Linked DNA regions of Oryctolagus cuniculus. The protein of the gene in region 5 purifies or fractionates together with the protein of the main gene of each other region. This does not show direct contact. Links are inferred from orthologs where the notes say so. Each region holds a gene or a part of one and is shown on either strand. Other genes may lie near its edges. The genes, in order: MAP3K7, MAPK9, AKT1, MAP2K7 and MAPK8IP1.

Evidence for each region.
Region 1: the proteins of MAPK8IP1 (region 5) and MAP3K7 purify together in Homo sapiens (pull-down; 3 studies listed by BioGRID and IntAct, with this or other methods). This does not show direct contact. The link is inferred for Oryctolagus cuniculus from reciprocal best matches to the Homo sapiens genes MAPK8IP1 and MAP3K7.
Region 2: the proteins of MAPK8IP1 (region 5) and MAPK9 purify together in Homo sapiens (affinity purification with western blotting; 4 studies listed by BioGRID and IntAct, counting the BioPlex papers as one, with this or other methods). This does not show direct contact. The link is inferred for Oryctolagus cuniculus from reciprocal best matches to the Homo sapiens genes MAPK8IP1 and MAPK9.
Region 3: the proteins of MAPK8IP1 (region 5) and AKT1 purify together in Homo sapiens (affinity purification with western blotting; 3 studies listed by BioGRID). This does not show direct contact. The link is inferred for Oryctolagus cuniculus from reciprocal best matches to the Homo sapiens genes MAPK8IP1 and AKT1.
Region 4: the proteins of MAPK8IP1 (region 5) and MAP2K7 purify together in Homo sapiens (affinity purification with western blotting; 3 studies listed by BioGRID and IntAct, with this or other methods). This does not show direct contact. The link is inferred for Oryctolagus cuniculus from reciprocal best matches to the Homo sapiens genes MAPK8IP1 and MAP2K7.

Annotation. Positions count from the first base shown.
Region 1 is NC_091436.1:81,925,005-81,930,962, reverse strand, and holds part of MAP3K7 (mitogen-activated protein kinase kinase kinase 7), read right to left. Parts: intron 4,505-5,958; coding exon 4,376-4,504; intron 2,170-4,375; coding exon 2,039-2,169; intron 1-2,038. UniProt on the Homo sapiens protein: Serine/threonine kinase which acts as an essential component of the MAP kinase signal transduction pathway. Plays an important role in the cascades of cellular responses evoked by changes in the environment.
Region 2 is NC_091437.1:67,258,763-67,264,720, forward strand, and holds part of MAPK9 (mitogen-activated protein kinase 9), read left to right. Parts: intron 1-320; coding exon of another isoform or gene 321-392; intron 393-479; exon of another isoform or gene 480-545; intron 546-697; coding exon 698-769; intron 770-4,319; coding exon 4,320-4,502; intron 4,503-5,559; coding exon 5,560-5,684; intron 5,685-5,958. UniProt on the Homo sapiens protein: Serine/threonine-protein kinase involved in various processes such as cell proliferation, differentiation, migration, transformation and programmed cell death.
Region 3 is NC_091451.1:46,975,441-46,981,398, forward strand, and holds part of AKT1 (RAC-alpha serine/threonine-protein kinase), read right to left. Parts: intron 2,324-5,958; coding exon 2,195-2,323; intron 291-2,194; coding exon 179-290; intron 90-178; coding exon 1-89. UniProt on the Homo sapiens protein: AKT1 is one of 3 closely related serine/threonine-protein kinases (AKT1, AKT2 and AKT3) called the AKT kinase, and which regulate many processes including metabolism, proliferation, cell survival, growth and angiogenesis.
Region 4 is NW_027208201.1:4,112,665-4,118,296, reverse strand, and holds part of MAP2K7 (dual specificity mitogen-activated protein kinase kinase 7), read right to left. Parts: intron 5,131-5,632; coding exon 5,083-5,130; intron 2,486-5,082; coding exon 2,344-2,485; intron 2,246-2,343; coding exon 2,179-2,245; intron 2,062-2,178; coding exon 1,948-2,061; intron 1,868-1,947; coding exon 1,748-1,867; intron 1,668-1,747; coding exon 1,560-1,667; intron 1,470-1,559; coding exon 1,290-1,469; intron 1,202-1,289; coding exon 1,121-1,201; intron 1,014-1,120; coding exon 871-1,013; intron 477-870; coding exon 431-476; intron 330-430; coding exon 195-329; 3' UTR 1-194. UniProt on the Homo sapiens protein: Dual specificity protein kinase which acts as an essential component of the MAP kinase signal transduction pathway. Essential component of the stress-activated protein kinase/c-Jun N-terminal kinase (SAP/JNK) signaling pathway.
Region 5 is NC_091432.1:20,067,260-20,073,217, forward strand, and holds part of MAPK8IP1 (C-Jun-amino-terminal kinase-interacting protein 1), read right to left. Parts: intron 5,787-5,958; coding exon 5,681-5,786; intron 3,982-5,680; coding exon 3,679-3,981; intron 2,554-3,678; coding exon 2,472-2,553; intron 2,262-2,471; coding exon 1,449-2,261; intron 1,089-1,448; coding exon 1,013-1,088; intron 634-1,012; coding exon 461-633; intron 239-460; coding exon 129-238; intron 1-128. UniProt on the Homo sapiens protein: The JNK-interacting protein (JIP) group of scaffold proteins selectively mediates JNK signaling by aggregating specific components of the MAPK cascade to form a functional JNK signaling module. Required for JNK activation in response to excitotoxic stress.

The DNA.
Region 1 (5,958 bases), on a different chromosome or scaffold from region 5:
AATTACTTCCCTCTAATGCGACTTGACTATACCAAATATGCTGTTTTATCTTCCCTAAAACAAATACTAAATTTGTAGAGGTCTAAGTTTTTGATTTTGGTAAGATGATGGTGACATACTCCCTTTTGAGTTTCAATTATGATGAATGCTATGCACCTGCCTAAGCGTCTTATTTACATGGAGTTTAGACAGTCTTGATGGAAACACCAAATATTTCTCTAGAGAAGGGGTAGGAAATCTTTTCTCTGCCAAGGGCCATTTGGATATTTATAACATCATTCACAGGCCATACAACTTAAAAATTAGCCTGCTATAGATTTATTGAATTTTGAGATCTGCCTGTGGTTGCCTTGGCAGGGTTACCAAATTATTTTGTGGGCCTTAGATGGTGCACAGAAGGCATGTTCCCCACCCCTGCAGAGGAATATATGAAACAGAACACTATCATGGCTATAATGATCTGAAATACATCTATGTTCTCGTGGCAATGATGTAAACTTCTAAACTGTTGCAATGATTATTGGCCTGACAAAGGAGACTGGTATACCATAGCATAATAATTAATACTAAATATTCTAAATAATTTAAGTATTGAGAGAATAGATATTGGATGTCCTTCTCTGAGGTAGAGACATAACACTGAACATATCTGCTAGACAAAAAAGCTTAAGGCACTCTTCTGAAATTAGACAAAGCACATATATACATAGTTAAAATCTGAACAATTTCTATATCTGAAACTTCTGTTATTTTAATCAGAGACTAAGTTGTTTCCTTATGCACAAAATCTTTATTTAGCACCTTGGGTTCTATATATAGCTGGTATCCTAGTATGATGGCAAAGTTTAACCAAATTAGTTCAAGCTGCTTTTCCTACATTATTCTCAATAGAATGAACAAATGAAACCTTTGGGATGGTGCCATGGCTCACTAGGCTAATCCTCTGCCTGCGGTGCCGGCATCGCAGGTTCTAGTCCCGGTCAGAGCGCCGGATTCTGTCCCGGTTGCTCCTCTTCCAGTCCAGCTCTCTGCTGTGGCTGGGGAGTGCAGTGGAGGATGACCCAGGTCCTTGGGCCCTGCACCCGCATGGGAGACCAGGAGGAAGCACCTGGCTCCTGGCTTCGGATCGGTGCAGCGTGCCGGCCGTAGTGGCCATTTTGGGGGGTGGACCAACAGAAAAGGAAGACCTTTCTCTCTGTCTCTCTCTCTCACTGTCTAACTCTGCCTGTCAAAAAAAAAAAAAAAAAGTAATCTCTGGGTATTAATTAAGGAAATCACTTGGTCTATATTTAAGGAAATTGCAAGGTTGTTCTACTGATCAAATTGCTCTGAATTTCAGGTACTTTCATTTTAAAGTAACATTTTAAAGCAAACATTCTATTTGGTTGTTTTCTTAGTCTACCAAAATCTAGAAGTCTAAACTATTTCAAATGATTCTAATGTATTTGATTTGTAGACTAGGAAAATTAAAATATTCTATAAATCCTAGAAGAAAGGTTAACTTAAAAAATTTTTTTTAGCTATAAAAACCTTTTCAGGTTTTCATATACAACAAAAATACAAATAGTAAAACATAATCACTCAAATGTATTTGGGAATGCAACCTCTCCCTCTACTGTCCTGTATAACTAAATAAATGACTGACTAATACTGAATGTCTGATGATATATATCAGAAAATTTTAAATTTCCTTCATTGGGTGTGAAAGTCATAATATACCCAAGTCCTGCGAAGGCTTAACAGATCATCTAATTCAGCTTCTCTCACATTACAGATGAGACAACGGAAACACATGTCCACTAATGTAAGCAGTATGAAAAGGTATAACCAGAAACCTAGCCTAAACATCTTCCCATTACAAGGAACTAGACTACTCCCCCTTCATACTCCAAATGGGTCTTCTGATTATATGAGTAATGAAAACCCAAAAATAGAAAGAAGAAAATGGTTACAATGTCTCCTTTACTCTAAGCCCTACTCAAACTCAGTATACATTAAATTTCCCTAAATTCAAAGCCCCTCAAAAGAAGGATTATACCCGCATCAAGTGAGTCATTATTTTCACAATTTCCTCCATGGAAGGGCGCTGAGAAGGGTCTTTAGACCAACAACGAGTCATCAGGCTCTCAATGGGCTTAGGTAAATTTTTGATCAGTGGTGGTCGAGTACCTATAATTAAAAATGAGAGAAGGAGGGAAAGCAATGTATTTACCCAAAGAATGGAGCAAGTTCTTTATTTGTATTCCCAAAGCAGTGTTTATTTTATAGATTTTGTAATTTAAAAACTATATTTTGGAGTAAAAAAAGGACTTATTTTTGTCCTATAAGTTAACATTTATTTTATGTATATTTTCCTAAAGGGAAAACATCTTTAAAAAAGTTAAATTAAAACTTGTACATCGGGGCCAGTGCTGTGACTCAGTAGGTTAAGCCTCCGCCTGCAGCACCAGCATCCAATATGGGTGTTGGTTCTAGTCCTGGCTGCTCCTCTTCCAATCCAGCTCTCTGCTGTGGTCTGGGAAAGCAGTAGAAGATGGCCAAGTCCTTGGCCCCTGAACCCACGTGGGAGACCAGGAAGAAGCTCCTGGCTCCTGGCTTCAGATGGCTGCAGTTGTGGCCGTTGCAGCCAATTAGGGAGAGAACCAGTGGATGGAAGACCATGCTCTCTGTCTCTCTCTTTCTCACTGTCTATAACTCTCTCAAATAAATAAATAAAATCTTTAAAAAAAAAAAAACTTGTACAATATAGAACAGTAAGATTGAGAAGTAACAATATTTGTTATGCTCTTTTAACAACAACAACAACAAAAAATGGCGTAATGTGTGAGATCTGGATGGAGTTCCTGGTTCCTGGCTTCAGCCTGGCCTAGCCCCAGCTATTGCAGCTATGTGGGGAGTGAACCAGTGGATGGAAGATCTCAATCTTTCTCCCTTTCTGTCATTCTTTGAAATAAACAAATCAATAAATCTTTAAAAGAAAATTCAAATGGTGGTTTGAAGAAACATTACCTAAATTTCAAAAATTTCAAAATGTGTTTGAAAACTTATCTTTTATATCAAAAAGTTGGTCAACTACAGTAGTATACTTGCTGACTTCCAAATGACTCTTTTGAGACCTTATGGTTGCTGTGAATCAATCATTTCAAGGCTCAAAATTCCAACTTTTTGTCCTACACCTGTGTAAAATTATTAGTAAGGTCCCACTTAACATAGGCCTCAAATACGAAGTTTTGGTAATTTTATGAAGTAACAAGTTAGTTCTTCTACTCCTTATTTCATTGCCATTCAATCATTCACTGCCAGCTGACAGAGAGAACAAACTGTCTTGGTCAATGATCTAGCATTCCCTACCATGACCCTGACAGCAGTAACACTGCAAGTGGTACAGAAAACTGATAAAAACAGCTAAAATTGTTCTGATGATCTTCTATGAATGACCTGAATAGTTAGGCAGACATTTGTGTTTATTACTTACGGAACAGTAAATATAAATGTTACAAATCAAAATGATTACATTCGAATGAAAGAAATGAAGAACAAGGCTAATGCTTACTAAGGTTAAGTAACTGTCCTTCATGAAGAGTTTATTTTCCCAAAGCAAATGTGGAATAACTATTAATGAAGAGGATCATGCTAACATCATATGGGGTTAGAAATAAATACCTAAGTGCTTAGAAATATCATTACTAGAGATATGCAGGAATAAGAATAGTGAGTCCCTCAGTCAATATGTCTGAAAAATACAGCAACTGAGTCAGAAAGATCTAGATTTGCATCCCATCTCTGCCACTTACTAATCCTGAGACCATGGCGAGTTATTTGTGTCTCTTTTTCCTGTAAAATGAGACAACCGAATTTACCTCCTCAGGCTGTGTGAGACTATAGAGAGAGGGTATGTAAAGCATTCTGTTTTGCTTTCATGAGCTTAACCAACAACTCTTATCATTATTTGTTGCTTTTTCTCCTTACTGAGACTCTGCTTCCTCAGGAGAAAAAGGCTGTAACTTTCCAATTATCTGAACTACATTAGATTTTATTTATGTATTTAATTTTTCAGAGAGCCTAGTATGATCCTTCTCTATGCTCAAGAGAGACAGAGATTTGGCACTGGTTGTGTTCTGATGGCCTTTCTCTAATATGCACAAGTAGCACATTCTCAGCCCTGTATGGAGGCCAGGGAAATCCCCAAATCTGCCCTACTAGACTCAGGGGCTGGGGATTGATAATAGAAATATAGTTTGATAACAAAGAATTTTAGTTTTTAAGGTTAGGGATAATTTTTTTCCTTATTTTGGGAGAGGGGATGGAGATAAGACAGAAACAATCTTCCAAATATGAAATACAAAGTACATTAAAAAAATTTCTTTTTACGAACCATTATGAACAGCCCACATGATTCGGAAAGCCGGCCCACCAATTTCATCAAAAGGTTTCCGACGTGTTATCACTTCCCAAAGGATAATGCCCCAGCTGAAGACGTCACATTTTTCACTGTAATTGCTACCTAGAAAAAGAAGGCAATATAATCTCAAGACTCTCTTCCACACGATATACAGAAACAACTGCGTTCATAAATCTTCAAGAATCTTGGATATGAGGAGGCTGTCACAGGTAGAAATGACTTTCTAAAGCAACTTAAGTCTTTTCAATGAATACCTTTTTTTTTTGCATTTATCATCTACCTTTTATCACAAGGTATAGCTCTTATCTTTCATATATTCAGAGTGACACTTTCTCTGTGTATTCTTTTCTAGAAATTTTTAATCTTAAAATTTTTCCCCATTCTCTGCTATCAAAACAAAGCAGGAGAAATCTATAACTTACTGGCTTTTCCCCTTAACAATAAAATTCTGAATAAAATAAAATTCTGTATGAAAATTATGGCTAACAAATTTATGGTAAACAGATTATACAGCAACATTCATTATTAAATCCCTAGGTGAATCAGCTTAATAAACAGTTCAAAAAACAAACAAAAAGTGACAACCATAAAACAAACCAAAAAAACCTCCCAACCCCCATAAGAATAAGCAATTATTATAGTAACAATCTTGCTTGCTCAATAGCACACTGTAATGCAGCAATACAACAAGATTAATCTACCATGGACAAGTGCTTCCAGATAACATCTTTCAAAAATGAAATTTACATAGTATAATAGTCTCAGTTTTGTTGCTGAGATAATCAATGGTGCTATGGTTTGAATATTTATTCCCTTGACCTCAGGAGTTTAGTCTCCAAAGCCTAAAGTTACTAAGAGGATGGAAACTATATCCAATCATGGTGTTTAAAAGTAGAGCCTTAGTGAAGTGATTAGATTAGATGAGGTCTTAGGGTTGAGCCCTCATCACTGAATGTGGTACCTTCGTAAGAGACACATAAACACATCCATAAACATATGTGCTTGCTATCTCTTGTCATCTGATGTCCTGGCCATCTCACAATTCTGCCAGCAAAAATGCCATCATTAGATGGCAAAACAAAGCCTCAGTTATTTTACTACAGTGTCAAAAATTGAATAATATGAAAAGTAATTATTATTCTTTTGAATAAACCAATCTTTCTGCTTTCCTTACTACAGTAATACTGTGCCATTTTCACTTACAGAAAAGTATACTAAATAAGTAAATACATTTTTAAAAAGTCAAATGTATTTTATATACAAGAGGCATTACTTAATTTTGTGTAATTTAACACTTGTTTGTCCACTAACTTTTTAACTGAATTTTAGGGGAAAATAGCTTCATTCCACTGACTTGTTACCCAACGTTCTCTCTGAGATGGCCAAAACCAAAAAAAATAACACTTTAAATTCATCAAAACTAAAAGAAATAAGTGATAATCAGAATCTGATTACTGAACAAATCTGAACCTTATGACCATTCATAGTTCCTAACATACAAATCGTGTACTTCCAGTTTAATTCTCATATTTAAAAGATAATCTGATGTTTTTATA
Region 2 (5,958 bases), on a different chromosome or scaffold from region 5:
CCCCCGCCTCCCCCAGCAGGGGCCCCTCCTGGCTCTGCCTGTGCTGTCCCAGGACCCACAGGAGAAGTGGGGGCCCCCCGGCACAGCCTCACTGAGCCCAGCCACGCCAGCCCGCCTCTGTGGCTGTGCCCACTGGACGCTGCTGTCTTTCTGACATGGCACCCTGGGGAAGGCTGTCTCCGGAGGTGTGGTACCCATATTTTACAGAAGCTCCCCCTGACAACCTGGTGCAATGGAGCGGATTTGTTTTGTCTGGGAGGGGTTTGAAGGAAAGCGGTGCGGGGGCTCTGGCTGGTCAGTAACCACCTGGTGTTTGGTAGTGGACATCTGGTCTGTCGGGTGCATCATGGCAGAAATGGTCCTCCATAAAGTCCTGTTCCCAGGAAGAGACTGTATCCTTCACGGGAGGGGCCTGAAAGCGTGGTGTGCACACACACTTCTTGTTTCTGCTTTTCTGTTTCTGTTTTTGTTTTTTTAAGCCGTAAAGTATTGGAATCTTTGGCAGTAAAATCCCAGATTGCTGCAAACTGAAGGCTAAAATAGAGGTCAGCAATCATTCATATTGTGTGAAAAGTTCACCCTTAGCTAGCAGTTTATCTCCTGTATCTGTGTGTTTAGTGCACTGTTAGAACTCCTCTTCCTCACCTTTGTTTTGTTCATGGCACGTCATAATTTTATCATTTCATTTTATTTTCAGTTGATATCTGGTCAGTGGGTTGCATCATGGGAGAGCTGGTGAAAGGTTGTGTGATTTTCCAAGGCACTGACCGTATCCTTCCCGGGACCTTGACCCCGGCCATGCTTTCCATAAATGCCACAGGCAGCATGATCTCACCTGCTTGCACGAATGCTCCAAAGGAAAACAGCGTCCTCCACACTGTGTTCTAAAGGGGTCTTTATTGTGTCTGTTAAATTAGTGTCACAAAGCAAGTGGTCTTTTTTACTTGACTACCTATGATGATTTTGTTTAGATTTAGAGTCGCGTTAAGCTCTTAATTTTATTTAAAAAAAAAACTGGAAATTTATGCAGAATAAGTTATTCACTGTTTGATAAATGCATTCAGACATTTAAATGAAAATGATGTTTTATTTAGTTCATTCTATTAACTAGAAAAGGTGCTGTCTAAATTTAATGGGCTAAAATGTTTGCATGATTTTAATTAAAGACTATTTAGTTAGTTGTCAGTATGTATTAATAAGGTTCTCCCCCAGTGTAAGAACTGAAGTTTACTACCGAAGACCAGAGTGAAAAAGTTTAAAATAGGAATTTGGGGAGAAACAATATCTTAAGTTTACTTGTTTGTTACTCTGTTAATAGAAATTTTAGTTGCGACACACTAGGGAAGTTAAGTAAATATTAAATGCAAAGATGACCCGTCCTGTGGTCAGCAGTCAGGTTCCTGATGAGCAGACAGGAGGCTGACCACACAGTAGCCGTGAGAGCCCTTCCTTCTTATCCCGTGATCCTCCCATCTCCAGCATTCTCTACCCCAGCATGCGTCTTCCCACTTGTGTTCTGACCACTTCATCTTTCTGTTGGTGTTGATTTTGTGTTTTGCTCTGAAAGGTAATAGTGGCCCCTGCCAGCCGATGCTGGCTGCTCTGAAAGGAAATCAGGCTCTGTAGTTAGTGATTTGTGTGTATTTTATGAAAGTAATTTTCGTTTTTTATAATTTTACAAGGATAGTTTTCTTATGAATTATTCACAACACAAACCTAAAATGAAAAAAATCCTATATTCCTATCATTTTATTTATTTATTTATTTTTATTTTCCACATCGTAATCACAGATTATATAATATGTGAAGATAAATATAGCATTTTATCTTGTTCTTACAAATTTCAAGCACTTTTCCATACCTTTACCTCAAATTCATTTGTTTCAAACTATAAGTATTTTGCAATAAAATTGAGTAAATTCAACTAAAAAGGGAGAACTTATGGTAGTCTAATAATTAAAAACTGAACATAGTTTGTCTCAATTCTTACTCATGCCTTTCTTTTAGTAATTAAGAAATATTTTCTTCAATAAGTACAAAAATGAAAAATGTGGGTACATTTTGGTATACTCTAGTAATTTGAAATTTCTACTTTATATTTAATATAATGTCAGTAATTCATGCTTTTATCTATAGTGTTACCTAATGTTGTTCTCACACCTTACATAGAGATCCACACTATTTTCTAAGGGAAATTTCGCCAGCTTTTTCAAATATTGCATTGAGATTTTGAGGGATTAAGAAAGGTTCTGGAAACCAGACTGAGATTCTCAGAGATCCACTTCAGATTTGCAACCAGAGCAGAAAACTCCTGTGCCCTCCTCGCCCACTGTGGCCTATGAGAAAGAGAAAGTGTTAGCCAAGCCACCTTCAGCCCCAATTTGGGCTCTTCCCCATGGCAGCTGTGCACATCCTTGAGCAATCCTGCTCAGAACCTTGGTTTTCCTTTTGTAAGATGGGAGACTTGCCATATGCCCCTTAGGATCTTGGGCGTTAAACAACAGTGTCTGCACATGCCCAGAAGTCCCCCAGGCTGGTCAGGTTCTGCTCCAGGGCCCTCGGGTTCTGTAAAAATGACTCTTTATCCAGCAGGTGTTTATTCGGCCAGGTTCCTGATCTGACGTAGGTTTTGAAAGGCTCATTCCGGAGAGGAAGGCTGGACGCAGGAGACCCGTGGGAATGGTGGAGGCCACACCATGCTGGTTGGCCTGCAGGTGGGGAGATGGTCAGCACTTCAGAGCCAAGTTAGGAGATGTCTGTTAGTAGAAAAACCCAGTGAGGAGTTCAGGAGATAGTCTGAAATAAAGAGAGGAGGGGACCATCAATCCGACAGTAGCACTGAAGCCTCAAGGCTGGCAGTGAGTGCCTGCAGAGAGGAGAAAGAAGGGCCAAGGATGAACAAGCTAAGGCCTAAGAATTGACCATTGGATGGGGTGCTGGCCACTGGCAACCCTGATGGGCACAGGTTTCCTGGAGTAGGGGAAAGCCTGGGAAGAATGTGTTAAAACAGAGTGAGAGGCTGGGAATTAGAGACACAGGAAAAGACAACTCTTGAGAGAGTGTAGGAATAAAGAATGGAGTGATAGGTAGCAGATGAGAACCAATAACAGTGTGTCTTCAAGTAGGCTGAAGATGGGGGGCAGGGCAGAGGCCCAGATAGCTCCCCAGTGGTAGATGCTGCGTAGGTGTGGGGAGGGGCAGCTGGGCGCCCGAGGTGCTTCTGGGAAAGAGGAGAGAAGGAAAGCTGTGAAGTAGCTGTCACATTCTGGTCAAATAGGACAGTAAAAGGTAGGCATGCCTCTCACGTGGTAATGTGTGTGAAACAGGCATGCAGGAGGAGATCCCGCAGGCATGCGGATGCCTGGGACCCGTTACAAGTGTGATGCTCAGGAGCGTGGAGTTGGTGTGCCGGAGCCCCGCCTGGGCTGCTCCACAGCGCTGTGGGCTCGTTGTCTGAGACAGGCCCTGTCACTTTGTAAGCCACTCTGTCCGTGCTTTGCTCGGGCTGGCTTCCTCTGGTTCAGTTTGCGGTTTCAGTATCACTTTCCATGGTTACCATTCCAGCCGTCCTAAGCTTCACAGGCACCCTGGGAAAGGGGCATGGCTGCTGTCACCCGCGCCGTCCAAATCAGGAAGCTGACCCCTGGGAAGATGGACTTGGGAGTGTTTAGTGCACAGCTGAGTCTGAAACCAGGTCACGTGCTTTGAAAGGAAGCAGATGCCCATGGTGTTGGGCTGTGTCAGGGCCAAGCTCTCTGGTTGCCCTGGCTCTTTCTCAGCCAGGTACAGACATGGCTGGGTCCTGCCCTGCCCCTCCCCCTGCTACCTGGGGCCAGGCCCATGGCAGGGCTTTGAGTCCCTAGCTGTAAGCTGAGGACAGCAGAGAAGTTCTCTCCACAGGTCTCTCAAGTTCTCCACTTTAATGAGCCGGGATCTCTTTATCTAAGGGAACTTTAGGAAACTGATTTCAGTGTCAAGTGATGGCTATCTGATTCCGTGTTTAATCATTGCCGCCTTGGGTGCTCTTAGTTGTAAGTTAATTTTGGACAAGAATGGAAAGGTAGATAGCCTTCCTTGTGCTGATTTAATAAACTATGATGATAAGATGCAGAGTGTAAGAGTTTTTAAAATAATCTAAGCTAGAAACAGAAACCTTATTTGAACACCATTTCCAGTGCTTCTGCTGACCCAGTGGGGTAGCCTCATTAATTTCTTGTCATTGAGTATAAATGTAATTTAAGTACTCCCTCAGATGGTGCTACTTAGTGTACTGTGAATGTAAGGCATTTCAGTTGCATTTTCCTCAAGAGACCTCTTAGATATTGATCAGTGGAACAAAGTCATTGAGCAGCTAGGAACACCGTCCGCAGAGTTCATGAAGAAACTTCAGCCAACTGTGAGGAACTATGTGGAAAACAGACCGAAGTACCCTGGAATCAAATTTGAAGAGCTCTTTCCAGATTGGATATTCCCATCAGAATCAGAACGAGACAAAATAAAAAGTAAGATATCCTCTTTCTCTCATACTTATTTTTGAAATCCAGGAAAAGCTTGCTTTTTTTTTTTTTAAATGTGTCCATTCTAAAGCCTGTGAATGTTGGGAGGAGAAATAGTTGAAACCACAGAATACAGTCAGGTGCAGGCCAGACACCTGGTACATGAAAGCACTGTGGGGAGAGGGCTATAGATGCGGAAGTGTTGTCCTCCGTGTTCAGATCAACCTGAGAGGTTCTTAGGCCACAGTCCCAGCAACTGAAATTCAGAATGTCGTTGGATATAAAGAAAGCTGGAGTGAAGATTGCAGAGTCAGAATCCATGCTCGTTGTTCAGTAAAAAGACCTTTCCTGCCCTTCAGTGTCCTTCACTGAAATGTGATTGTTAAGGAAAACGGTCGATTTGTTTTCATCCGCATCGAGCTGCAGCCTTGCTTTGTCTGTACAAGTTGTGAACTTCATTCAGTTGCCAGAATCTAGCTGAGCCTGTGTTTTAGTTATTGAACTTGTTGGTTTTTCCCTAACTACTAATCTCTAAATTTAGGGGAAAAAAAATAAGTGAGTATTGCTAATATTGTATACAGCTAGGCCAAACAGAGGCATCTCTACAGTGTTTTATTTTGTGAGAGTATCAGACTCATGTGTGGTTTTAAAAGACCGTTCTAATTTCATTTTAATGTGACGGGAAAAAAATACTCATGCCCACACCCCTGGCAGTGCCGCCTGAGCTCTTACCCCGCGCCCCGCTCCCTGCCATGTGCTCTCAGCCGCGGGCCCCCTGCAGACACTGGCCCAAGGTGCCTCGGAGCCTCCTACTCCATCTTGGGACACAGATTTCTCCTCCCCTTCCTGGGTCAGAGGAATAAGAACACGTTGGAAAGCCTGGGTTTTTTGTTGTTTTTTGTGAAAGTGGCTGTTTGAGTTTTCCTTAAGGCTTTGGGCTCTGTTGATCTCTAACCTGTCACATCTCTTCAGCATTCATTTATCTTTGTTATGTGTGTGTAGTACACATTTACTTCTTCACTGGGTGTTTTCCTGAGTTCACCAGTCTTTGTTTTCACCCTAGCGAGTCAAGCCAGGGATCTGTTATCAAAAATGTTGGTGATCGACCCCGACAAGCGGATCTCTGTGGACGAGGCTCTGCGCCACCCGTACATCACTGTCTGGTACGATCCTGCCGAGGCAGAGGCGGTGAGTGCTGATGCTGAGAAGGCAGATGCAGGGCTTCCCCCTGGTTGGCCCAGAATGGCCACGCAGGAGCAAACAGGTGCTGGGTTTAAGGCTCCTGACTGCACAAGGGCCAAGCGTTGTTTGAGACCTGGTCAGGAGCAGTTTGGGGCAGTTGCTGCTGGGGCTGCAGCTTAGAGCATGAACAAGCTTACGTGGAGACAACTGTCTTCACTTACACAAATGCCAACACGCGGCACTTGACACCGAGCGTGTGTCCTAAGAAGCCTGTCGTTGG
Region 3 (5,958 bases), on a different chromosome or scaffold from region 5:
TGGGAGACCCTGACCGGAAGTCCATCGTGTCCTCCTCCTGCTTCTTGAGCCCGTCGGCCACCGTCTGGATGGCAGTCGTCCACTCCTCCCTGCAGGGGTCGGGGGGCCAGCGGTCACAGCTGCCGGGGGCACGCAGCGGGGCTGTGCCCCAGCTTCCCCGGGCCAGCAGTGTGCGTACCGCTCCTCGGGGGTCTCCACGTGGAAGGTGCGCTCGATGACCGTGGTCCACTGCAGGCAGCGGATGATGAAGGTGTTGGGCCGCGGCCGCTCCGTCTTCATCAGCTGGCATTCTGGGGGCAGGGCCGGGGGTGCCCATCAGCTCCTGCCCCCGCTGGCCCCAGGAGGCCCCACTCCCCTCCTCCAGGCTGTTTCCCGCCCCACTCCAGTTTGAACATTCTGCTCGGGGGGAGTGAGCCCCCGCCACGGTCCCTCCCTAAGCGTCTGAGCCCCAGACTACCCAGGGCCCTCCTCCAGCTCAGGCTACAGGGAGGCTGCCGGCCCAGGCCCCTGCGCACATCCCCTCCAAGCTGGCCAGGTGCCACTTCTTCCCCTGCCCACAAGGCTGGGGCTGGGGCGAGGCAGGTCACTGTCACCTTCCAAGGCCTTGGAGGGCAAGGGGTGCCCAGGCCCAAGGAGGGGCGAGAACGCCCTGCTGTTGCCACAGCCACAGCTGCAGCACGCCTGGAGCACACACGCCTACAGTACACACGCCTGGAACACACACACACACCTACAGTACACACGCCTGGAACACACACACACACCTATAGTACACACGCCTGGAACACACACACACACCTATAGTACACACGCCTGGAACATGCACGCCAGGGACACCTCCATCTCCTCGGCCCCCGAGTTGTCGCTGGGAGACCCTGACCGGAAGTCCAGTACACACGCCTGGAACACGCACACCTACAGTACACACGCCTAGAACATGCACACCTACAGTACACGCGCCTGGAACACGCACACCTACAGTACACGCCCCTGGAACACGCACACCTACAGTACACACGCCTAGAACATGCACATCTACAGTACACGCGCCTGGAACACGCACACCTACAGTACACGCCCCTGGAACACGCACGCCTGCCACACGTGTGCCTGTAGCACGCACGCCCACAGCCGGGGAGCGTGTGCATTCCAGCACCAGCACCCTGGCAACCACGAGGGCCAGGTCTGCCGGGCGAGGGGCTGCGTGGGGGCCCGGGGCCCAGCCTGGTGGGAGGCGGCCTGTGTCTGTGCGGGCAGGAAGCTCACTCGGTCCTCCCACAAGGCAGAGCCCCTGGACACAGGCCCTCCGCACACACACGCTGGCTCTCGCCCTGGCCAGGCAGCGCCCCCTGCCCCCGGCTGGCGCTGCCCCCATGGGCTCCTCTGCAGAGGCCCCTCCTGCCTCACCCCCACAGCGGGCATAGCAAGGCTTCCAGGGAACTGGCCTGCGCCTCCTTGGTGGCCTCCGGCCCAGGAAGCTGGGCCTGAGGCCGGGGAGGGTGGCATTTGGGGCTCACGGGAATCCCCACGGCCAGGCCCCTCCTCTAGCACAGAGTGGGCCCCGGGAGGGATGACCCAGCAGCCAGTGCCGCAGCCCATCCCCACGCAGATGCCCACAGGCAGGGCGACGCCCAGGTCGAGCCACCTGTGCCAGACCTCCCTGCAGCCCCCAAACCAGAACCTGGGTGGCCCTTGAAGGCCAGGGGCCAGAGGACCCCAGGGTGCTGGCCAAGGAGAGGGAGGGGCAGAACCCAGAGGCCCACGGCTGGCAGGCCCATCGCCCCCAGCTGCCCCAGGCCAGCCCCAGGGCAGAGCTGGGCTGCCAGGTGGTAGAAAGTGGCAGTGGACCTGCCCGGCCCCAGCCAGCATCGTGGGAGGGACAACTGGGGAGCCAGGCAGGGGAAAAAGTGGCACTGGCCAGCTTTGAGGGTGCCCCCCACAGCTGGGAGGGGTTGTATGCAGGGTCCTAGGGCCAGCAGCCCTCCCCACCCAGGACCCCCCTGGGAGAGCCTGGAGGCTCCCTATAGCCCGAGCTGTCCCCTCTGGGCAGGAGGCTCAGGGAACAGCTCCACAGGACAGCCATGCAGCTTGGCCCAGGCCCCCGCCAGCCAGGGCTGGCCCCCAGTCCCACAGGGCACGGACCACTCCAGGCACCGCCCCACGTCCAACCCGGAGTGGCCGAGGGGACACTTACGTGCCACAGAGAAGTTGTTGAGTGGGGACTCGCGCTGCTCCACGTCCTGTGGCCGCTCCTTGTAGCCGATGAAGGTGCCATCAGTCTTGAGGAGGAAGTAGCGTGGCCGCCAGGTCTTGATGTACTCCCCTGTGAGGACACAGGCGGTGAGGGCCCCTGTCCAGGTCGCTGGCCAGCTACGCCAGGCAGAGGGTGGGGGACGGGAAGGCAGGCTCGCTGCGCCGGAAAGGGGCCAGGCCCACCTGCACACCTGGGACACGGGGAGGAGGCCTGGGCCCACCTACCTGGCCTTCCTGGAGGGGGAGGCAGTAGGTCAGCTGGTGCCCAGCTCAGGCACTGGCCGGGCACCCAGGCTCCAGGGTGTGGCTGCTGGCCTGAGCCGGCCTCCAGCCAAGAGGACAGAGCCTGGCACTGGCAAGGAAGGGCCAGCAGCACAGTCCTGGGGCCGAGGGCAGAGCTGCCGCCCACCCTGGGACAGCCCCTGGTCCAGGCGCGGGGGCCGACTCCCCCAGTACCGCGGCGCTCGGGGACACGGCAGATGCTCCGTGGAGCCGCGCTGCGCCATTTTTCACACTGACACCCGAGAAAACGCCTCATTTACATTTTGCCGAGCACAGAGTCTGAACGACAGGGAAGTTGCTAATTAGGCAGCTGCTTCACTGTGGGCTGAGAGCTGGGGACGACACAGGGACAGGCCACCCCCAGAGGAGCTCAGAGGACACGGGTCGGCAGGCGTCCCCTGGGCAAGGCACTCAGGGCAGTGGCCCTCCCTCCCCAGGTGCCCGGCAGCTGCCACTCTGCACCCTGGTCCTGGACACACTTGCAGATGGGACCCGGAAGCCCCGGGCTGGGCTGGGACCTGCACCCCAGCCACCCCCCTCACAGCCCAGGGCTCTAAGAGGCCCCCCCAAGCACCCCTGGGTGCTTACTGTGCCTGGACTGGGGTGGGCCTGATTCCAGCCAGCCCACCAGCAGGACCAGAGCAGTGGAGTAAGGCCACACCCCGATGCCCAGGGGGGCAGGCCAGCTAACAGGCCCCACCCCACAATGCAGGGGGCGGTCGCTCAGGTGCGGCGGGGGCTGCTTTGGGGGAAGGACAAGGTTCTGCCCCCTCATGAGGGTGCCCCCCACAGCTGGGAGGGGTTGTATGCAGGGTCCTGGGGCCAGCCGCCCTCCCCACCCAGGACCCCCCTGGGAGAGCCTGGAGGCAGCCCCCACCCCGCCCCGCCAGGCTGGGGCCACCGGGGCCTCTGGCAGGAGCAAAGGGCGACCCTCAGGGAAGAGGCTCCAGCCCACCACAGGCACCCCCTCTGGGCAGGTGGGGGCAGGCAGGGGCTCCAGGGGGCGAGCGGAGCGGGCTCTGGGGGCTGCACAGCCCCCCCGTCCCGGGCCGCCCGGCGCCGTGCCCACCCGCCTGCACGCCAGTCTGGAGCTGTCGGCCCCTGATGGAGTGCCTGCCATCCCACCAGCTGCCGCTCCCCAGGACGCTGAGCGAGCGGGGAGACTGATGAGCACCCGCGCGCGCCCCAGAAATCCATCTCGGTCCTGCGCCACACGGCACACACAGGGCCCCCACCCCCAGTGTCGGTGAGGGGGCTGCCCTCAGCACACAGACCCCTCCACGGGGGCCAGGAGCAGGCCGAGGGACACCTCTGCCTCTGCGTCCGGCCAGGCAGGCCCATGGGGACCCACAGTGCTCGCCGTGCCTGGGCTACAGCCCTCGTCTTAAGTTCAGCCAAAGCAACGTGGGACCTGAGACCCCCGGCCCCGCCAGGGTGGGGGCAGAGGCCACTGCACACCTGCAGACTGGCACCTGCCCACCCCGAGGTCCAGAGGGGCCTGGGCCTCTGGCAGGGAGCGACTGGCGCCCAGCGCAGGGTCTCCTCAGCGCCCCCCCCCCCCTTCAGACCTGTGGCGGTGCCAGGCTCCACCCAGGGCCTCTCCAGCAGGCTCAGCTGCCCTCTAGGCAGGTCCAGCCAGGCGCTGCCATCAGGAGGTGCAGATGCCCGGGTGGGACCCGCTCCCGCCCCACTGCTGGCCGGCCCACCTGCAGGACAGCCTGGAACCCAGCCCTGGGCTGGGAGCACAGTGGTGGCCCCTGAGGTGCTGCACGGAGCCCCAGGTCCTGTCCAGGCTCCAGGCCACCATGCCCGGGACAGGGAGAAGGGGATGGCTGCCCTTAGCAGGGTGACAGGGTTAGCTAGCTTCCTGCGACCCGGCCTGGGTCAGCTCTGGCCTCGGGGACACCACACAATGCTTGGGGACAGGATGGGCCTGCGCAAGGCCCAGCCTGTGCGAGCTCACAGCCAGTACCGACGTGGCCGGGGGCAGTCTCGGGGTCCACGCTGCCCGGCTCTGACGGGCTGGAGCCGCGTCCCCACCTCCACGCACATCCTCTGGACGCTCCCGGTCCCCAGCAAACTGCTGGGCTGGCACTTTGCGCGGCGGCGGGTGCAGGCTGGCAGGGTGCCAGGCAGCACCGGGCTGTCTCTCCACAGCGAAGTGAGCCCCAGCAGGCCTGCGGTCCCCCGCCGCCAGCACATCCATCCTGCCGACAGCTGCCGCGCCTTCACCTTCTCCGGCACATTGAGCAGAGGGCCTGCTGGTGGCCACCACTGCCTGCGGGGGTCCCTGTGCCCCTCACCGCAGCAGGCACCGGGCCAGTCTGACCAAGGCCACCAGCCCTCGGGGAGCTGCCCAGCTGCCCAGCGCTGCGTTCCCGGCCCAGGTCCTCAGGGGAGGGTGAGCAGTGCCACTCCGGCCCGGCAGGGGCTGGCACCGCCAGGCCCACCTCTCTGCCAGCCTCGGGCCTGTCCCACCCTCCCAGGAAGCCCCCCTACCAGGCAGGCAAGGCGGGTGGAGTTGACCAGAGGACACTCGGACGCAGGAGAGGACACAGCCGGGCACCACCTTGTGGAGGTGCCGGGGGCTGTGGGCTCCTCTACCCTCGCCTGGACGCCCACCCCACCTCAGCCTCATCCGTCACTGAACCTCTGGTGGCCCGGCGTGTCCCATCACCCTCCGGGTGAGGCCCCTGGGCTGCCCGCTCCGTGGCTCCCATCTCCTCCCTGGGGCAGGCTTCCTGCTCACCTGCCCACGACCCTCCGTGTCTGACGTGCGCTGGCCTCGCTGCAGCCTGAAGCCAGCACGGCCCAGCCCAGGCCACTCGTTGGCTTGTGACAAGAGGGACGGCCCAGCCGAGCCTTCCCACAAGGGGGACCCGACCTGGTCAGGCCGGCCAGGGGAGTGAGCCCAGGTCTGCCGGACGACCAGCTGACCCCGTCTGTCCGTTCCTGGGGAGGGGCTGCTGCCCTGGCCGTGCTGGGGGCTTCCGGAACATCCCCAGGGGATACCTCCTGGCCTGGATCCGGGCCAAGAGTACAGACAGCCCCAAGCAAGCAGAGAGATGGGGTCCGAGCAGCGGCACGGAGTGGCCTCCCTCAGACACGGGTCCTCACCGGCCAGCAGCTGCCCCGAGGGCCGCCTCCCCAGGGGCACCGAGGCGGGATCTCTGCCTCCCAAGGTGGGGCCACACCTGGGGCAGGTGGTGGCCCTGCCCAGCCCAAGGCCTCACCCCTACCCCCCACTGGGGCCCACCATGCACCCACAGCCCCCTGCCGGGCCCAGGAGGCCCTGTGCTGAGCACCTGACCTTGGGGGTACCCGGGGCTCGGGCAGGGGGCTGAGAATCCAGTCCCGAGTCCCACACCTGGGTTCTGAGGACCCACACCCAAGGCCGGGTAACAGGGAGCCCCCGTGCTGGGT
Region 4 (5,632 bases), on a different chromosome or scaffold from region 5:
GGGCTGGTGGGCCTGTCTGTCCACGGCTGGTGGGCAGGGAGCGAGGGGGTGGGCGAGCGCCCCCCACTGTCTGTCCTCAGCCCTCGCGGCCGTCCAGGTCCCAGGTCTCCCCTGGCAGGCAGCTGGGTGGCCGGGTGGGGAGGGGGGCCGGTGGCCATGCCCCTGGCCCCTGGGGGCTAGCCGCTGCCACGCGGCTACCTGAAGAAGGGCAGGTGGTGCTGGCTCAGGACTCCGCTAGTCCGCGGCGACTCAGTCTTCGCCATGACGTCCTTGAACCAGGACGCCACGTCCACCTCAAGTGTCTCGTAGCGCTTGATGAAGCTGTGTTCCTGCAGGTGCGAGGGGCAGGGTTTAGGACAGGGCCTTCCCCACAGGGCACGAGGCGGCTTGCGGAACGGCAGGGGAGGGCTGCCAGGGGTCGGGTACTTACAAGTAGCTTATTATACTTTGGTCTCTTCCTGTGGTCTTTAGTAAGGCTGCAGGGAGAGGGGGGAGGAGGCAGGTGAGAGCCCAGAGGGGGCCTGGCTCCTCCTGGCTCAGCTCCCGCTGTGAGTGGGGGTCCTTCCAGTCTGTCCAGAGGCTGGGACCTGGCCAGCAGCGCGTCCCTGAAGTGCCCTGGCCCAGCACAGTGTGACAGGCATGATGCTCCACAGCAGGGTGGGCGGAGCTCCCCAGGGAGGATGGGCGTGGCCTGGGGTTGCTTGGCAGCCTCCTGCAGGGTCACCTTGCCAGACGTCCAAGGGGCCAGCTTTGGCAGGATCTAAACCCAGTCTGCCGCACCCAGGGCCCCAGCTCCAGCCTGGGCCTCCCCAGCAGCTGCTCCCCGCCCATATCAGGGCGTGCCCTCCCGCCCCCGCGCAGGGTCCTCACCAGTCTTTGACGAAGGACTGGAAGTCCCCCGAGAAGCCCATGTGGCCCGGCAGGAGTGGGGGCTCCTCCTGCAAGACTTTGGTGAGGACCTCGAAGTCTGTCTTGCAGTTCTTGTAGGGAAACTGCCCCGTGGCCAGCTCCACCTGCGGGGGCACGAGAGGCTGGGTGGGAGGGGCTGGGCTCCCATGCACCCGCCCACCGCGTCCCCAGGAGGTCTGGCCCTGGGGGAGGGAGGTAGGGCTGCGCTCACCAAGGAGATGCCCAGGCTCCACACGTCCGCCCGGATGTCGTAGTCGGGCTTAGTGGGGTCCGGGGGGTCGATGCGCTCAGGCTGCAGGCAGGGAGGGGCAAGATGAACCCCTGGGGCGGGGCTGGCCTCTCCCGGCCCCCCGCCCCCCACCCCCGTGAACCCCACTCACAGCCATGTAGGCGGCGCAGCCGGCACTCCGCGTTTTGGCCTTGGAGTCCACCAGGCGGCCGCTGATGCCGAAGTCGCAGAGCTTGATCTGGCCCCGCTCGTCCAGCAGGATGTTGGAGGGCTTGACGTCGCGGTGGATCACGCCGTGCTTCTCCTTCAGGTAGTACAGCGCCTTCACGATCTGCGGCAGGGGCACGCAGGGGCCTGTGAGGGCTGCAGGGCCTGGGGCCGCCGCCCTCCCCACCGGCGGGCCAGCCCGCTGTCGGCTCACCGCCACCGTCATCTTGCCCAGGATGCGCTCCGGGATGGGGCCCTGCATCCGCTTCTTGAGCTTCTCGGCACAGGTGCCCATGAGCTCCATGGCGATGAAGACATCCGTCTGCGGGGGAGGGAAGCAGGCACTGGTCAGCCAGCCCACCCGCAGGGCTGGGGGCGGGGCAGGCGGGCGGGGCGGCTCACGTTGGTGATGAAGGTGCCGAAGCACTGCACGATGTAGGGGCAGTCGTGGCTCTTGAGCACGACGTCCAGGTCCATGAGGATGCGCTTGTTCTCCTCCTTGTTCCCCGAGCGCCGCATTTGCTGCCAGATGGGAGGGACCGAGCCTCAGCACCGCAGCGCGCAGCGCTGGGGCCGCGCCCAGGCCAGGGGCGCCCGCTCACCTTGACGGCGATGACGTGGCCGGTCTTCCGGAAGCGCATCTTCCACACCTGGCCGCAGGTGCCGCTGCCCATCTCGCCCAGGTTCTCCAGGTCATTGATTTCCGCCTGGTAGCGCTGGTGAGGGAAGTGAGGGCTGGAGGTCGGGGGCCTCTGCTCCCTTCAGCCCAGTGGGGTCCTGCCCCCCCACCCCCTCCTGGAGGCCCGGGCACAGGCGCAGGTGCAGGGCAGTACCTGGCCCCCGATGGTCAGGTAGCCCGTCTGCTTCATGATCTCCTGCAGCTTCTGGTCAATCTCAATGCTGGGGGAACAGGGAGTGGTGCCGGTGAGGGGAGGTCCTGCCCCACCTGAAGTCAGCTGGCACCCCCACCCCGAGCCGGCCCCCCCCCCACGGCTCACCTCTCCATACTGCGTGGGGTGAACAGGGTGGGCGGCAGCCCCAGCATGTGGCGGGGCCGGGCGGGGGGCGTGGGGTGCTGCGGGGAGCTCTCTGAGGACGGCGAGCGGCTGCCCCCATCATTGGCCAGTGGAAGCTGCAGGGCTGAGGGGTGAGAACCAGGGGTGCACAGGGGTGAGGTCAGGTACCCCGGGATGAAGGGGTGGGGACTCTCACCTTCCCTTCCCTGTGTGCCTCAGCCAGGCCAGTCCAGTCCCTGCTCTGCTGGCTGGGGGAGCAGGGTCCTCCCTCCCTATCCCCGGGGGGATCCTTGGGGGGCCTTCTCCTAGCCCCCACACCTGGGAAGAGCAGGCTGGCAGGAGAGGGCAGGGGAGGCTGAGGGTTTGTCCCAAAGTCTATGACGACAGTGCAATGAGGGGGCTGATGGGGGCCCTCTGTTCCGGCCTCCGCCTACAGGGCAGGCCCAGGGCCACTGCACCTGCACTCTGACCACACAAGGACCGGATGTCTGCCAGGAGCCACCTGGACCCTACGCTGCTGACAAGCCTGGACCTGGCAGCCCCACAAGAGCAAGGCAGACCCCTGGGGAGAGCTCAGCTGCCCTGCCCCACTCTCAGGCCAGCAGGCTGATCAAGGGCACAACCAGGGCCACTGGGGGAGGGGCTGGGGGCAGGACCCCGGCCGTGCCTGCGTCCTGGGGTGAGGGGATCCGGGTGGCACGGGCCCTCCAGAGGCCGGCAGGATGGGGTGGGAGAGTGGGCCAGGCATAGGTTGGGGTCTTTCCAGCAGCCTGCATGCGGACAGCTCGGGCATGCTACAGGCAGGGGGCGGGGCGGGCAGCGGGCAGGCAGCGGGCACCTGGCGTTAGGAGGTGGGAGGGCAGGAGACAGACAGACAGACAGGAACCAAGACCGGGGGCCAGAACAGAGCAGGTCCCTGTGGAGCTCGGGGTCTCCCTGTGCTGGCTAACAGCTGGGGGGAACAGCAGGGGCCAGGAGAGCAGTGCAGCCCTGACCCGCTGACCCCTCAGGGCACTGCTTCCAGGCCTCCAAGGCCCCGCCTCCCAAGGGTGCCTGGCTCTCCCCCAGCCTCAGCAGATAGCCCCTCACTTCCTGCCTCGCCCCCCCCCCCATCCTGCTAGCTCCTGCAGACTGGGGCCCACGGACCAAGGAGCAGAGCCACATGGCAGGGGTGCTGGCAGCCAGGCCCTCTCCTGGCCCGCTGACCTGGTCCCCATCACAGCCAGCCACAGGACGCCCACCTGTCGGCTGAGAAGACCGCTCAGTCCCACCAGGGTCTGCCGGACACAGGGCTCCAGGGAGCTGGGGACCAGGCCAGGCCCTGTGCTCTCAACTGGCCTGCAGGCCTCACCTCCCCTGCCCACTCCCACCACCCTCATCACAGCCCAAGCCCTCCCCGCTCCTGAGGGTCCCCTCCTCCTCAGAGCCTGCCCGCTCTCCCCCTGCCCGGGGGGCTGCCCAAGCCCCTTTCTGCCTGCACCGCGGGCTCCTGCGGGGGAGACGCCATAGCCCCAGCCTCCCCGTGTGTGTGGTGCCCTTGGAGGGCTGCCCAAAGCTCAGGGAAGACTGCTGGCCCCACAACCCGGAGCACAGTGGGGCTCTGAGGGCCACTGAGGGGGCAGGGGAGTGAATGTGTGTGGGTGTGCGGGAGCCACACAAAGGCCCTACGAAGAGAGGTCACAGAGATGGGAATGGCCACACAGCAGGTCAGGAGGGTGGAGTGAGAGTGGGGCGGGGCACGGGAGAGGGAGGGAGGGAGGGAGGGAGGGAGAGTGAATGAATGAATGAGAGTGGGAGGCCATGCGGGGGGGGGGGCACACCTGTTGACAAGAGCCATGGACAGACCGGCTGCCCGCCCTACATGCACCCACACAGGCGCAAGCACACACGCCCCACACACATGCAGACAGGGACAGAGCCAGCCTGTCTCCTCCGCGTGGCCACACAAGCATGGCACACACGCCCACACGCGGACAGTGTCAGCGCCCCCGATCTCTCTCTCTCTCTCTCACACACACACACGCGCGCGGTACAGCACACAGAACTGGCCCATCTGCTCCTAAACACACCCGCACCTGTGCAGGGGCTGAGCGAGGCTGTTCAGTTTCCTGCTCAAACTCCTCATCCCCCAGAGCCTTCCCTGACCGGCCCCTGTGCAGTCCCTCACCCCGCTAGCACCTTCTCCCCTGCTGGGAGTGAGCTCACTGCCCACCAGGAGAGCCCTGTGCAGCCGCACTGTCCCGTCAGTGCAGCGCTGTGCCCTCCGTGACCAGAGCAGGTACGGCCGCCCAGGGCAGGCAGGCGGACGAGACAGGAGCTGCTCCAATGGTCGAGCTGGATCTAACGTGCATCTGACTGGGCCCCCTCTTGCCTCGTGAGGTGTGTGCCTGCCTGGCCCAGCTTTCTCTCTCTCTCTCTCTCTCTCTCTCTCTCACACACACACACACACAGGCCCTCGCGGGTGATGGGCTCCCGTGCCGTCAGGCGGCACACTGCCTTCTCTAGGGGGCCCGAGCCCGAGCCCAGGGAGAATGGCAGAGGGCAGGTGGGAGGCGCAGAGCCAGGGCCGGGTGCCGCCGGCCGCCCGTGTGGAGTGAGAGCGCGCGAGAGGAGGAGACGGGGACACACACAGCACAGGGGGACGGGGTGGCATTCTGCAGCCGGGCAGCGGTTAGGTTGATGGTGCAGATGTCCAAGCGGCGATGATAAAAAGGCTGGTACCTGCTCGTTGGGACGGGGCAGGAGCAGGGCTTAGAGTGATCACAATAACTGGATGGGGGGAAAAGGAAGAAAAAAAAACAACACCACGATAAATCACAACAGAAATGACCGATTTGTCCAAAAGAAAAGAAATCAAATCATAACAAGGAGCAGGGGTGGGGTGGGAGGCTCGAGGCACCGAACTGCAGAGATGGGTGGAAACCAACAGAGATGGGAGGGCGGGATGGAGCTGACAGACACAGACACCTGCGGGGCTCCTCTCTGCTCCGGGGACGGCCTGGGCCAGGACAGGAACCCTGGGCCCCCTACCCAGTCTGGTCTCCTCCGCGCTGGGGCCCGGGAGGGCAGCCCTGCGGACCCCAGCAGGGACCCTGTTTGTCTTGGCTGAGCTTCCTGCCCTGGGCTGCGTCCAGTGCCAGCACTTGGGTTCCCAACAGACTCCCCAGGGAGCAGTCCACGCCGACCCGGGGCAGAGAGGGGAGGATGGGGGGTGGATCCTGGATGTGGGAGTGCAGTCAAGCTGTGCAGGGCGGCTGCGTGACCAGGGAGT
Region 5 (5,958 bases):
TCTGCCCATCTCTCCTGTCCCGGACCCTGGGCCCCGAGCCCCGAAGCCTTCCCTGCCTCTGGACACCTGGGTCCCTCTCCCCAGAGAGACACGGGCTGGACTGGGAGCGGGGAGTGGGGGCCCGGTACCTTTTGCATAGCAGCACAGAGGACGTCATTGCCCTTGTGGTAGGGAACCTGGACGGAGCCCAAGAACTTGACCCGGAACTGGTCCACCCAGTCGCTGTTTTTGGCCAGGGCTGGAAAGCAAGCGTGAAGTGAGCCCCAGCAGAGGCAGGCAAGCCGAGGAGGGCGCGCGAGGCAGAGGAGCGGCAGGGCCAGCAGGGGGAGCCACATCCCACTTCCGGCATGTGGCTGGAAGTGGCCGGAAGTCGGGTTTGGCTGGGCGGGATCTGCAATGGCCCCTTCGCGACAGCCTGCCGAGAGCTGGAGCACAGGGCAGCCAGGAGGCGCAACGCTACCTGCCATGTGCTCGGGCTCCTTGGTGACCTCGATGGCGTAGTAGGCGGGGAAGACGCCCCGGGCGCCGGTGCGCATGTTGTAGGCCTCGTACCAGTAGTCCTCGGCCTGCAGCTCCACCAGCAGGGGGTCGTCCACCTCCAGCTCCAGCTCGTCTTCGTGCCGCGGCACAAACCTGGCCGGGCAGAACTCCTCAGCGGGGCCTCCCGGCCGGGCCCTCCCCAGGACCGTGTCCTTAGCTCAGCCAACACCTGCAAAGCAGCGCGGGTGCCGGCCCGACGCCAGCCGGGGGGCAGGGGGCAGCGTCCATCAGGCGCCCGCCATCAAGGGCAGGACATGGGCGGAGCCCTGCAGAGGCGGATAGGCCAGGGTACCCGGGCCCTTCGGTCTGCGGGAGGCTTGGGCGGGCGCAGGGTGGCTTCTGTGTGTGTAGGCGCAGCCTCGGGCTCCCACGCACCACGGCCCTTTGCCACCCTGCTCTGCATGCCCAGAGGTTGAACACAGGGGCCCAGGGCAGAGTGGACGAAGCCTTGCCCCGGGCTGAGGGTGCTCACCTGAATATGGCCCGGTGCGTCTGCTCCTGCTCCACCCCGTTGATGACACAGGAGAACAGCCCGAAAGACTCTGCACCTGAGGAGGGGCAGGGGGCGGGAGGATGTGGCCCCAGCTCCGGGGGAGGGGCAGGGGGCGGGAGGATGTGGCCCCAGCTCCGGGGGAGGGGCAGGGGGTGGGAGGATGTGGCCCCAGCTCCGGGGGAGGGGCAGGGGGTGGGAGGATGTGGCCCCAGCTGGGGGGGGGCAGGGGGCGGGAGGATGTGGCCCCAGCTCCGGGGGAGGGGCAGGGGGTGGGAGGATGTGGCCCCAGCTGGGGGGGGCAGGGGGCGGGAGGATGTGGCCCCAGCTCCGGGGGAGGGGCAGGGGCAGGGGCAGGAGGATGTGGCCCCAGCTCCAGGGGAGGGGCAGGGGGAGAGCCCCGGCCAGGTCGACTCACTGGAGGAGCGGGAGCGGCCGCTCATGAAGACGTTCAGGAACTTCTTGGAGAAGTGGACGTCCTCCTCGGGGCTGGAGTCCTCCGAGAGGCAGGCCGGGGGCCGCGGCCGGGGCGCCTCCTCGTACTCCTCGCCGATGGCCGACTCGTAGGGCGACGAGGCCGAGGCGCAGTTGTCGTAGACGGTGGCGGAGTCGCTCTCGTCGCTGTAGTCGCCGAAGCACGGCCGCAGGCTCACCAGCTCCAGCTGGGCGTGCTCGTCCACCACCAGCGTGTACTTGACCGAGTCGTAGGACAGGGCGCTGGTGTCCGAGCTCAGCGAGGCCCGCGGCGGCGGCGGCGGCGGCTCCCCCAGGCTCGCCCGCCAGCCTCCCGCCGGCGGCCCGGCCCGCTCCGGGGAGGACAGGCAGTCGAAGCCCTCGTCCTCTTCGCTGATGGAGGGGTGTGGCCGGCCCAGGGTGGAGGGGTAGGCGGCGGGGTCTGGGTCGGAGCTGACCGACATGCGGCTCTCGGCCGGCGGCAGGAAGCCGGCGCTGGGCTCCGCGGGGTCTGGGGGCCTCTGCACCGGGGTCAGGTAGATCTCCTCCGTGGCCTCCAGCCGCACGTCGGCCTGGTAGTGGATGCGCTCTCGATGGGAGTGGCCCCGGCCCCCAGGGGCGGCCGTGGGGGGGGCGCCAGCAGGGGCCATCTGGGTGGCAGCGCTGCGGCGACAAGGGCTGTCGGTGGAGGTGCCTCGGTCCTTGGTGGGCGCGGGGCTGCCCTGGGGGGGCAGCTCGTCGCTCAGGCAGATGTGGTCATGGGGGGGCGTCTGCTCTCCTGCAGGGCAGGGTGGAGGTGGGGGGGCAGTGCTGAGCCGGGCTGCCTTCACCTGGGCCCCCCACCCCGGTCCCTGCTCCATGCACCAGGGCCCCGGGCAGGCTCTGGGTCCGCAGCCCAGGCCTTGGTGGACCCCCATGGGCAAGGTGGGGGCCCTGCAGGGGCGACTCGGGGCGGGCTGAGGCCCAGGTGTGGGGGGGTCTGCCTCACCTGTCTTCAGGGGTGAGGACGAGCGGGACACGCGCTCCTGCCAGCTGTGCTTTTTCCCGAGAGAGTTATTATTCAGTGTGTCCTGGGCAGCGAACAAAGGGCCCTTGTGAGAGAGGCGGTCAGCAGTGCCCGGCACAGGGAGGCCCTGGCCCTGCCCCCACAGGGCCCCCCCAGGCTGCTCGCTGCCCCCACCCTGCCCTGCAGCAGGCAGCAGGGGTGAGGGGTGGCCAGGGAAGTGTCAGCCTGGGCAAAGGTGGTGCTGGTTGGCTGCGGGGTGGGGGGTGAGGAGGGGGAGTCTGCAGCAGACTCAGGACCCCCACGTGAGATGCCCAGGGCAGTGGGGGGGCAGCGTGACTCCCATCCTGGAAGGGGCAGGGCCGGTCTGGCCCAGCCTGGGTAGAAAGCAGTGAGGTACCCTGGGAGCCTGCGGTGACACTCAGATGGCTCCGGGGCACTGTCTCCCCTGGCCCCCAGACCAGGGGCCCAGCCCGCGGGGGCGACAGGCATGGCTGGCAGCAGACCCCTTCCCGGATCTCCCGGCTGCTTGCCCACATCCGCAGCACCTCCCCAGCCCGGCCCCCACAACGCCCACATACAAGTCTCCTTCGCACCTTACACCACGAGCTGGGCTACCAGAGGATCCAGGGAGAGGGACCCCGTTTCTCTGCAGCCCCCGCCCATCCCCTGGCAGCTCCCCCTCCCTGGGTCCCCTCCTTACCTCTCCTGACTGGACCCGGGAGACAAAGGGCCTGGCCAGCGCTCCCCACCCTATTCAACTCTCCTTGGCTTCCGGCCAGCAGCCCAGGGGCCCCAGGCCCCCAGCTCAGCTGAGCAGCGCCATCCCACAGGCCTCCCCCCTGCCTCTGGGAAGTCCAGGCTGCCCACACTTCAGACGCCAGCTCCCAGGCCCCACCTCCCCCACAACTTCCCAGGCCCTCGCCCAAGCGGACCACTTCCCTCTCCCCTCTCCCCACGCCGTTTCTGCCCCACCTTCACCAGGGACCCCAGACCCTGAGGGTCCCAAACTCCACACCTCTGCCACCGCTCCAAGCCCTGTGCTCCCTACTCCAACCCCTCCCCGGGCCCCGTCAATCCCTGCGCTCCTTCGCCCTCTCCAGGGACCTCCACCCGTCCCCCGGCGCCCACCTCCCAGGAGCCGGCCCCGCCCCGGGGCGCCGCCCCCTCAGCCCCGCCCCCCGCGCCTCACCTGAGACCGCGGCACCTGCGGGAAGAGGTTGAGCGTGGTGGGCCGCTTGGGGCGGTATGTGTCCCCGCTGCCTGGGCCCTGGCTCTGGCCCTGGCCGCGGGACGCCGGTCCCTGACCGGGCTCGGCCTCGGGCGGCCCCGCTCCCGGACGCCGCGCCGCGCGCTCTTCGTCGTCCTCCTCGTCGTCCTCGGCGCCGGGAGTGTCCCCGGTCGCGTCGATCAGATCCATCTGCAGCATCTCGGCCTGCAGCCGGCTCCCCGCGCTGCCGCCGCCGCCCGCAGAGAGCAGCCCGGCGCGCGGGGGCTGCGCGGCGCGGACGGAGGGGCGTCAGGGGGCGGGGCCGCGCCGGGTGGGGCGGGGCCGAGGCCGCCGCGCACCGCCCCCTGCCCGGACGAATCCATTGCGCGGCCACGAAGCGGGGGGCGGAGAGCAGCGGCAGGGAAGAGAGGGGGCTCCGGGCCGCCCCTGCGGGAAGCGCACGGCCGCCCCTCCCCGCCCGATCGCCCCCTTTGCAGAACACCACCCTCTCCCCTCCCCGCGGACCCCCCTTCCGGCTCCTTGCACCCTCCCGTTCCCTTGGCAACGGCCGATGACCTCACCCGGGCTGTAAGCAGCTCCCAGAATGAAGTCACCGCTGTTGCCATGGAGACGTGGGGTCGCCCGAGGAGCTGGGCCCCCGCAAGAGATTGGGGAGAAGGGGGCGCACATTTGTATCTGAAGAAGTCTAGGAGGGACCCTGGGAAAACCGAGTCTCTGGCCAGGAGAGGAGGGCCGTACTGCGGACTGGAGTCCCTGGGAGCGCCGGAAGAGGGTCGCCGAGGCGGGGGACAGGGGCGGTCGGACCCCAGGGGCCCAGGCCTCTCCATGGGCAAGCTAGCCCTGCCTTCCTAGGGGACAGCCCCTCCCAGTTCCAGCTCTGCCACTGCCTGCCTGGCACCTTGGACAGATCCCCTGACCCTTCCATTCCTGGCAAGCGTGTCTGAGAGCCCCTGGGGCGCATCTAAGGCCACCGCCCCCGTCCCACAGCCAGTGCTCCCCCGGGGCCCCAGCTAAATGCAGGGCCCGCCCTCTCCAAGGCCCTGACGGTGCATGGTGGGGAGAGGGTGGCGTGAGACTCCAGACAGGTGCATGGCCTCGGAGGGAAGCTTCGTCAGGGCCCTGGGACCCCTCCCCAGGTCCACAGTAAGTGGTCTCTGTGTCCCTTCCTTCCTGACTTGGCCACAGGCTAGAGGGTTGCAGTAAGGACTGGAGGATTCCTCACCCCTTGTCTCTTGCCTGGAAGAGCTTACAGAACCTCCGCGGGTAGCAAGAGGTCTGCACAGAGACTGGTGCCTCTCCCGCGACCCTCATGGCAGCCCCCCACCCCAATACCACATCTGGCTTCCCGCCCTCCTGGGGGCGGAAGGAAGTGCAGGGCTCTCAAACCCAGCCCCGAGCTTGGCCCTCGTCCTGCGGGCTACCTGGCTCCTTCTTCCTGCTCTGCAAGACCGAGGCTGTTGAGTGCCTCCTGGCCGCGCCGGGAGACAGCCATCTTCCCTGTGCCAGGCCCAAAGGGCCCAAAGCATCAGCAATGCTGGGCCACGCCCTCCGTGAGGGCCTCGGCGTGGTACGGCGCACTGGCAGCCAGCAGCCATAGGAGTTCTTCCGGGTCATTCCTGGCGCCTCTGTCCTGTCCCCAAAGCACTGCAGAGTCCCAGACTCCACCCTTGCTCTGCCTGAGGCTCCCGGCCAGGAACGGCTCCCCAAGGGACTCTGGCCCTCCTGCCCCACTCCTGGATCTCAAGGCCTCCGGCTTCCTGCCTGAGCCCCTGGGGCAGAAAAATCAAATTCTGACTGCGCACCCAAGACGTGCCAAGCGCTGCACTGGGTGTTGCCTGCACACCGTTTCATGAGGGTGCCACCGGACCTGAAAGCCCCCTTTGTAGCCTGGGGGCCTCCCTCCCATCCCCACCCATCTGCCGCCCTACTCGGGGTCTCCGGGGAGCCAGGAGCCCGCCCTTACCCGGAAGGACAGGGTGTCTTTGCACTGCAGGCTGATGCCACACTCGTCAGTGATCTCTGAGAGGTCTTCATCCTCAAACTCCTCGAGGCTGATGTCGTGGGTGAGCCTGGGGGGGACAGGAAGCCAGAGTTACAACCCAGAGGGTCGGCCAGGCCTGCCAAAGGGCAGCCTCTAACAAACAGGCCGATCGTCGGCTCCGGAGGGTGGGACCCGGGGTCCAGCTGCTCCCATGTGGGAGGCGGTCACCAAGTAGGGACATGCCCAAAGGCAGTCCTCTA